Oryctolagus cuniculus: one gene and its partner. The protein of the gene in region 1 interacts with the protein of each later gene in a pairwise test. Links are inferred from orthologs where the notes say so. Each region holds a gene or a part of one and is shown on either strand. Other genes may lie near its edges. The genes, in order: RXRA and NR0B2.

Region 1 (3,795 bases):
ACGTGTGCACATGCACATACACACATGCATACATATACATACATACACACAAGCATACAAACACGCACATACACACGTGTACATACACACACCTGCATACACACATATATACACACATGCCCGTGCCCATACATACATGTACACACAGGTGTGCATACACACACACAAACCCACAAAGCAACGTGATGTCTGTAGCTCCCTGGCCCCACTGGGGCCACAGCTCAACAGGGAGGCGTTGGCAGAGAGCCCACGGGGCCCCGTCCATCAGGGGCCAGGGGGAAGGAAGCAAGACACGTGTGTGAGACCACGGGAGCAGCCACAGAACAGACATACGCATGTGAGGCCACAGGAGCAGCCACAGAACACACACGTGTGAGACCACGGGAGCAGCCACAGAACTGACACACACGTGTGAGACCACGGGAGCAGCCACAGAACAGACACCCACACGTGTGAGACCACGGGAGCAGCCACAGAACTGACACACACGTGTGAGACCACGGGAACAGGCACTGCGGCAACCGCAGCCCACGCCTGGCTGGACGCCTGGGCTCTCAGTGACCTCAGGGGAGTGGCCTCCCTGCCACCCACTCCCCACACCAAGTTCCGCCAGCACAACGGCTTCAAAGCCCTGAGCGGGGCCTGAGGCGCCTCCTGCAGGCGGCGACCCCGGGCAGGGGCAGGAGGGGCCCCATGAGGAAGCAGAGTGCGGGACGATGCCCCCACCCTGCCGGCCAGCGGGCGTGGCGACAGCCCACAGGTCTCAGGCGGCGCCCCAACATCACCCTCCCTTCACCGGGCACAGCCGGTCACAGCCGGAGAGCGGGACGCAGCCCAGGGCTCGGGGCACCCACTCTTCTCCCCGGCTCCTGCCCGTGGCCCCACGTGCTCTCCGGAAGGCTCGCTCCAGGCTGCCCGACTCCCGGAGCCCACTCACTGCTCCGTCCCCCAGCACGGACGCCACCAGGGAAGGTGGGGGACAGCGGCCAGTCTGCCCCGTCTCCTCGCTAATCCCAGGGCCTGGCAGACAGCAAGTGCCCAGTGCTGCCCTGAGAGCTACCTGCCCCCTCAGAGAGCAGGGCCCCGCCCCCAGCACTACCCAGTCCCGCCTCTCCCAGGAAGCCCCGCCTCTCCCAGGAAGCCTCACCTCTCCCAGGAAGCCCCGCCTCTCCTGGGGAAGCTCTGCCTCTCCCAGGAAGCCCCGCCTCTCCCGGGGAAGCCCCGCCTCTCCCAGGAATCCCCACCTCTCCCAGGAAGCCCCGCCTCTCCCAGGGAAGCCCCGCCTCTCCCAGGGAAGCCCCGCCTCTCCCAGGAAGCCCCGCCTCTCCCAGGAAGCCCCGCCTCTCCCAGGGAAGCCCCGCCTCTCCCAGGAAGCCCCGCCTCTCCCAGGGAAGCCCCGCCTCTCCCGGGAAGCCCCGCCCACCATACAGCAGCAGCAGCGCTGGATGAGCTCGGGCCTGGGTGCTGTGCTGGGCGTGGCCGGTGGAGCAGGGCCCCGCCCCCACCCCGCCCCCACCCGGGCCTACCTTCCCGCTTCATGCCCATGGCCAGGCACTTCTGGTAGCGGCAGTACTGGCACCGGTTCCGCTGCCGCTTGTCGATCAGGCAGTCCTTGTTGTCGCGGCAGGTGTAGGTCAGGTCCTTGCGCACCGTGCGCTTGAAGAAGCCCTTGCAGCCCTCGCAGCTGTACACGCCGTAGTGCTTGCCTGCGGGGCGGGGCCGTGAGCCGGGGGCAGGGCCTGGGGCCTGGGGGGGCACAGGGAGGGGGCCTGGGGCACGGGGAGGGGGCACGGGGAGGGCTCGGACACGGGGAGGGGGCCTCAGGCACGGGGGGGGGCACAGGGAGGGCTTGGACACAGCCCTCGCAGCTGTACACGCTGTAGTGCTTGCCTGCGGGGCGGGGCCGGGGGCGGGGCCTGGGGCACGGAGGGGGGGCAGGGGGAGGGCTCGGACACGGGGAGGGGGCCTCAGGCACGGGGGGGGGGCACGGGGAGGGCTTGGACACAGCCCTCGCAGCTGTACACGCTGTAGTGCTTGCCTGCGGGGCGGGGCCATGAGCCAGGGGCGGGGCCTGGGGCACGGAGGGGGGGCAGGGGGAGGGGGCCTCGGGCACGGGGAGGGGGCCTCAGGCACGGGGGGGGGCACGGGGAGGGCTTGGACACAGCCCTCGCAGCTGTACACGCTGTAGTGCTTGCCTGCGGGGCGGGGCCATGAGCCAGGGGCGGGGCCTGGGGCACGGAGGGGGGGCAGGGGGAGGGGGCCTCGGGCACGGGGAGGGGGCCTCAGGCACGGGGGAAGGGACACGGGGAGGGCCTGGACACGGGGAGGAGGGGCTCAGACCTGGGGGAGGGGCTTCAGACACAGGGAGGGTCCTCAGATGGGGGCGGGCCCTTGGACCAGGGGGCAGGGCCTCAGACATGGGGGAGGGGCTCAGACACGGCCCGCAGCTCTACACACCAGGGTGCTTGCCTGCCGGCACAGGGCTGCTGAGGGACTGCCGGGGTGTGGGGTGGGGGCGGGGCTCGGACACGAGGGCCGAGGCCAGGGCCAGCAGCAGGCTGGTCACTCTGCAGGCGGGGGTGGGGGCAAGTGTGGCTGGACACCTGGACAATTTCAGTGGCCTCAGGGAGCGAGGGCCCCGTGCCCCCACGCGAGTTCTGTCCGTGGACAAAACGGACTCCAAGAGACCCTGGGCTCCTGAGCCTGCCTGGGCGTAAGCTGGGCCCCGCCTCGCCCTCCCCACTGGGGGGGGGGGCAGACCCGCTCCCGGCCACAGGGGAGCCGGCTGGGGAGGGGCATCTGGGCCGCCGTGGGCTACCCAGGGGGACCCTTCCCCAGGCCCCAGACGCCCCGACTCCGGGCGCGGGTCCCCCCGCCAGGCCCTACCTGAGGAGCGGTCCCCGCAGATGGCACAGATGTGCTTGGTGAAGGAAGCCATGTTCCCCGAGGGGTGCGTGGGGACTTTGAGGACGCCATTGAGGCCCAGGGGGGGCTTGATGTCCTCGCTGCTGCTCACGGGGTTCATGGGTGAGTTCAGCTGCGGAGGCGGGGAGGGGGGTGACCAGGTGACTCTCAGCCCAGACACATGGCCGACCCCACCCCTGTCGGCCCCTGCCCGGCGCCCACCTGACCACAGGCAGCCTCTCATCAAGGAGACCCCAGAGGCCTCCTGGAGGGAGGAGAGCTGGGCTCCCCCACTGCCCTGCGGGGCCAGCTGGGGCGGGGTCCCCGGTCACGTGACCCGGGAGAGGGCACAGACACCGCCTGCGTCTGGGGCAGGGCCACCTTGCGGCCTTGCACTCCTCCCTGGCCCGCCGGGCCACCCGCCCCGCCTGCCCGCCCCGCCGGGGCGAGCGTGGGAAACTCACCCGGTCACCCTGGCAACAGCTGCCGCGTCGCAATGACACAGCAGTTTTGGTTCCGCTGCCTCCGCCCAGCTCTGCAGTCAGCGCAAAGGGCCAGGAGACACTTCCCACTGCCTCGCGCCTGCCCGCCGCCGCCGGCACCGCTGGCGGGACCCCAGCCCGGCAGCAGCCCCCATCTCCGCTTCTGCAAACCCCCAATGACTCGGAAAGCTGCTGAGTCGCCCGCGGCTGGCTCCAGGCCGCCTCCGGCAGAGGGAAGCTCTCGCCTTCCCCTCCTCTCGCTGCCCAGCCCCACCCCGTCTCCAGGGACAGGAAGAGCCCCCTGCAGAAGCCAGCACGCACAAAGCGCCCAAAGCCTCCCTCCGCTCCGGCCTCAGCGCCCTCAGCGCCCACAGCGCCGGGCACGACTCCTCTGGCCCCAGCCAGATCC
Region 2 (4,498 bases), on another chromosome or scaffold:
TCAAATATTTAACGAACGATGAGGCACAGACACTGGCTGATCGGAACAGCCCCAAGCCCGGCTCTGAATGAAGCAGTGCAGAGGCCATGGCTATGGCACGCGTTGGCTCTTGGGTTAACAGATAATGGGAGAGGGGCGGTGCGAGGGCACTCAGGGAGCTACAGGTGGTGGCCCTGAACCAACTGTTGCGGAAGTGTTTCAGACTCCAACAACAGATGAGGCCACACCATCGTGAGCCAGCGGAACCTTGGCCTGCCCTGGCCTCCAAGTAGCTGCCAGGCCAGCCCCGGGTGCCATTGCCCTCTCCTGTTGGGAAATAATGGACCCCCCTGTGCTACCAGCTGCAGGAATGGGCCAAGTGACGGGTCCCAAGCTGCAGACATTGCAGTCACCTGGTCTGTTTCAATTTGGGAACAGGCTGCTTCCTGACCGGCTCTGATCCAACTTTCACTGAGGAGAGAGGGAGTCTGCAGGGCTCGGGCGCTGAGAGACGGGTTAGTGGAAGGCGTGGGACAGGGAGAAGAGCCTTCTCGCTCCAAGGATAAAGGCAAGGAGGTGACATTGTGTGCTGAGAACTCCCCCACATGCAAAATGAATCTCATCTCAGAGATGAAATCGCCATCCCAGCCAGAACAACTCACACCCCCGTTTCCTGAGGCCTGGCTCCTGTGCCCCTTACGACCCCTGCCCTCCTCTGATAGGAGCAGGTGGGCCCTGGAGGTGAGACAGTCCCTGTCGTGTGCCCAAAACACAGTGGCAGGCTCGGAGAGTGTCACACCTTTTATTACAAAAACCAATAACTTAAATTCAGTTCTGTACAAAGCCAGCAGGACTCCCCCGGCCCAAAGAGCAGCTTCAGTCCTTTGCCATCAGCAGGAGGGGACAGGAGTCTGGGCGCAGAGCCTCTGGAGACCACAGAGGGCCTGCCAGACAGCTGGAGCGCCACGTCCATGCCAAGGAAGTCCCAGTCCGGAGGTGGCTGAGAGAGGGGCTGTGCAGGAGCAGCGGGGCACCCCTGGGGACAGGCAGGCTGAAGTGGCATGGCCAGCGTCTGCACAGGCTATGGCTGACCCCTGCCTGGGCCACAGCATGTCACCTCAGCAGGAGCATGTCTTCCAGGAGGCCGGCGATGTCCAGGTCTCCAATGATGGGGCGGAAGAAGAGGTCCCCGAGCAGACCGGCCGGAATGGACTTGAGGGTGGAGGCCGTGAGAAGGACTCGGGCCAAGCGGCCTTGGCCTGCTGAGCACCAGGGCTCCAGGGCTTCACGCAGCGCCCAGTGGGCCTCCTGTTGCAAGTGCCCGATATGGGAGGTGGCCTGGAGGCCTGGCACGCCTGTGAGCAGAGAGGACGGACAGGTCTGGTAAGCACCCTCTCCCCGCCACCAGCAGGCATCACCTGCCTCGTCGGCTCAGCCTTCAAGGCTCCGCTACTACCTCCTCCATCGATTTCTTTATCACTTTATTTATCTATCCATCGACAGCGAGGCCATATAAGGTAAGGGTTAAGGACCGGGCTGCCTGGATTGGATTTCTGGCACCATCATTGATGACTGAGTGACCTTGGGCAGGGTGCTTAATCTCTGTGCCTCAGTTTCTTTATCTGTATAGTGGAGATGATAATGACCGCACCTGTCTCCAAGACTTGCCGTGAGGGTTAAAGGAGTTAGCGCATCTAAAGGTCCGTATGGTAACCACACCATGAGGTTCTGCTGCGGGGAGGGCAGTCAGTGGGCACAAGGACCTTCTGGCATGGCACGCTTTCCTCAGCTGCCCCCAGATTACAAAGGACACCATCTCCATCTCTATCTGTAGCCCTCCCCGCTGAGTTGCCTCCCCCGCACCTCCTTCATTCTCCACCCCACCCCACCCCATCCCCCCCGCCATGGGAACTTTCTGACCCCACACGGGAGTTTAGCCTTCAAAGCTTCGCCACGCCACCTGCCCTTGAGAGCGTGCTGAGACGCGGCTGTGTCAGCCGCCCTCCCCTCAAAGGGTCAGGGGGCCCGGCCCGGCCCGAGTTCTCACGCCTGCTCTGCTCCCACCTGCTAGCCACTCAGCCCCTCGTGTGAGATGGCCCTGTGGGACCCAGTAGTATAATAGATACTGAGCCCTCGGAGGGTGCCCCGTGCCCCCTCCCAGCTCCACCCAGAAGTGTCTGGAAGCTCACCAGGGTTGAAGAGGATGGTTCCTTTCAGGTAGGCGTATTCCTTGGGGCCCAGCTCCAGGCTCCAGAAGGACTCCAGGCAGCACTGCAGCCATTGCACGGCAGCCAGCGAGGGCTGCGGCCTGTCGGGGAGCTGGCCACTGCTGGCCCCACAGCTGGGCTCCTCCAGCAGGATCTTCTTGAGTATGCTGGGCACAGGGGCTTCAGCCACCTCGAAGGTCACCATGTCTTGGGCCAAACCCAGCAGAAAGAGGGAGCCCCAGCCGCCACGCAGCAGCCGCCGCTGATCCTCGGGCGGCAGGCGGCCGAAGGACGGAAGGTTCCGGAGGAAGGCCACTGTTTTGGCCAGAACGTCCAGGGCCTCCCGGCAGGTGCGATGAGGGCTGCAGAGCCGGACGGGCCGATGCTCCCTGCACAGGCAGTGGCTGCGTGATGGAGGGAGAGAGGGCCTGGCCCTGAGACTGGGGCTCAGCAGTGCATACAGAATGGTCGGGCGGCCTGCGGCGGCCTGGCACGGGCAGGCCCCTGGTTGGCTGGAGCTCATGGTCACGGCTCCACTCCTACTGCCTCCCTGCTCTCTGCCCTCTGTGCTGTGCTGCGAGCGCTATTTATATCCCCAGTGGGCAGGAGGGAGGAATGGGCCAGCAACCTTGACTCCAGGAGTCATGTTCATTGAAACACACACACACACACACACGCACACGCACACTGACCCTGGCAGGACTGATGGGGAAGTGGCGAGGGCGGGGCCGTTAGGAGCTCCACGTGGCGCTGATATCACTTCAGTCAATGAAGTAGCCAGTGCGGGGCACAGGGCCACCTGCCTGCTGACCGGTTGCTTCTTATCGGATGACTCAAGTGGATAAACAGGGTCATTAACCCAGGCTGTACCAGGGCACCAAGGCCTCCGGTGCACAATCAGCATGTGGCTGTGGCTGGTGTCCCTAAAGGTGCCTGCTCCTGCGTGTGCACAAGGCCAGTGCTCTTGCTAAGCCTGGAAGCCAGCTCTGGAGCTGGACGAGCCTTGAGTGCGAGGCCCAGCCTGGAAGTGCCTTATCACTAGCTTGTTTGCCTAACCTTGGGGCCCTGCTCGTGTTGTTGGTAAGAAACAGGCTGTGGGGAAGGGAGCCAGGACCCTGGTGGGGGGGTTGGGAGGACTTTGCCCACTGTGCTGTGTGGCCCCTCCTTTGACTCCAGTTCTGGGGGCCCTGCAGAAACCCAATGCTGCAGACTCCCCTGTCCCAGTTTTGGATACCTAGAGCTCCTGAAAGGTCATGGCTGCGGAAAAGTCCTTCCAGAATGAGCACAAACCACAGCTGCCTGTATTGAGCACTTGCTGGGGGCCAGGCCTCTTCCGATCCAATATTGAGAGCTAGTGTTGACTCCGGATTCTTCCTTTGTGAGACCCAAAGGGGTGACGTGACGTGTCCAAAGCCATCCCTCCAGGAAGGAATGGGACCCTGAGCTGCCTGACCCTAAAGTCCTGGCTCCTTCCTCGGGACGCACCGGCTCAACTGTGCAGCCAGGGCCTGAGTCCCCCAGAGTGGGGCCAGGCCTGCTTGTGATTGGGACAGAAACGGCGCTCTACTTCCACACGGCTCCTCCATCCTGACATCCGTCTCAGACGGTAGCCAATGGGGCTAGAGAGAGAGAGAGTGAGGAGGTCTCTAGACCTTGCCCAGCCCACCCTGGCCAGCCACCTGCCATCATCCTCTGCTTCCCAGGGACCTCAGCAGGGACTTGAATTGGAAGTGTGCCAGGACTTAAACCAGGCACTCTGATACGGGATGCAGGTGTCCTAAGTGGTGGTTTAACGCCCTGTGCCACAACACCCTCCCTTCATTATCTATTTTGATGCCCAGATTGTCACAGATTTGGCCTTTGATAGCCCCCTCCTGATCTGCTCTCAGCATTCTTGGAACCTTCCTTTGTTTTCTGATATCAACCTCCCCAGTCCCTGGAATCAACCAGTTCATCAGAGAGCTCTGGATCAATCTCTTAGAGAATAACCCCATGATCGGGGGGGGGGGGGCTGGCAATCATTTTTAAAAAACTATTTTCTACAGTGAGAATAGAGAAGTGATTTTATCTTTCCTCTTGCATGGTTGATCAAAAAGTGTCTTTTTAAAATATTTATTTATTTATTTATTTATTTATTTATTTATTTATTTATTATTTAGAGATTTTCCATCTGCTGGTTCACTACCCAAATGGCCCCAATGGCTGGAGCTGGGTCAGGCAGAAGCCAGGAGCCTGGAATTCCAACCAGGTCTCCCACACTGATGGCAAGGACCCCAAGTACTTGGGCTATCTTCTGCTGCTTTCCTAGGTGC

Evidence for each region.
Region 2: the proteins of RXRA (region 1) and NR0B2 interact in a two-hybrid assay, tested with the Homo sapiens proteins (2 studies listed by BioGRID and IntAct). The link is inferred for Oryctolagus cuniculus from reciprocal best matches to the Homo sapiens genes RXRA and NR0B2.

Annotation. Positions count from the first base shown.
Region 1 is NC_091432.1:235,969,222-235,973,016, reverse strand, and holds part of RXRA (retinoic acid receptor RXR-alpha), read right to left. Parts: intron 3,275-3,795; exon of another isoform or gene 3,127-3,274; intron 3,038-3,126; coding exon 2,887-3,037; intron 1,707-2,886; coding exon 1,527-1,706; intron 1-1,526. UniProt on the Homo sapiens protein: Receptor for retinoic acid that acts as a transcription factor.
Region 2 is NC_091438.1:144,600,365-144,604,862, reverse strand, and holds NR0B2 (nuclear receptor subfamily 0 group B member 2), read right to left. Parts: upstream 2,984-4,498; 5' UTR 2,710-2,983; coding exon 2,169-2,709; intron 1,335-2,168; coding exon 1,093-1,334; 3' UTR 768-1,092; downstream 1-767. UniProt on the Homo sapiens protein: Transcriptional regulator that acts as a negative regulator of receptor-dependent signaling pathways. Specifically inhibits transactivation of the nuclear receptor with which it interacts.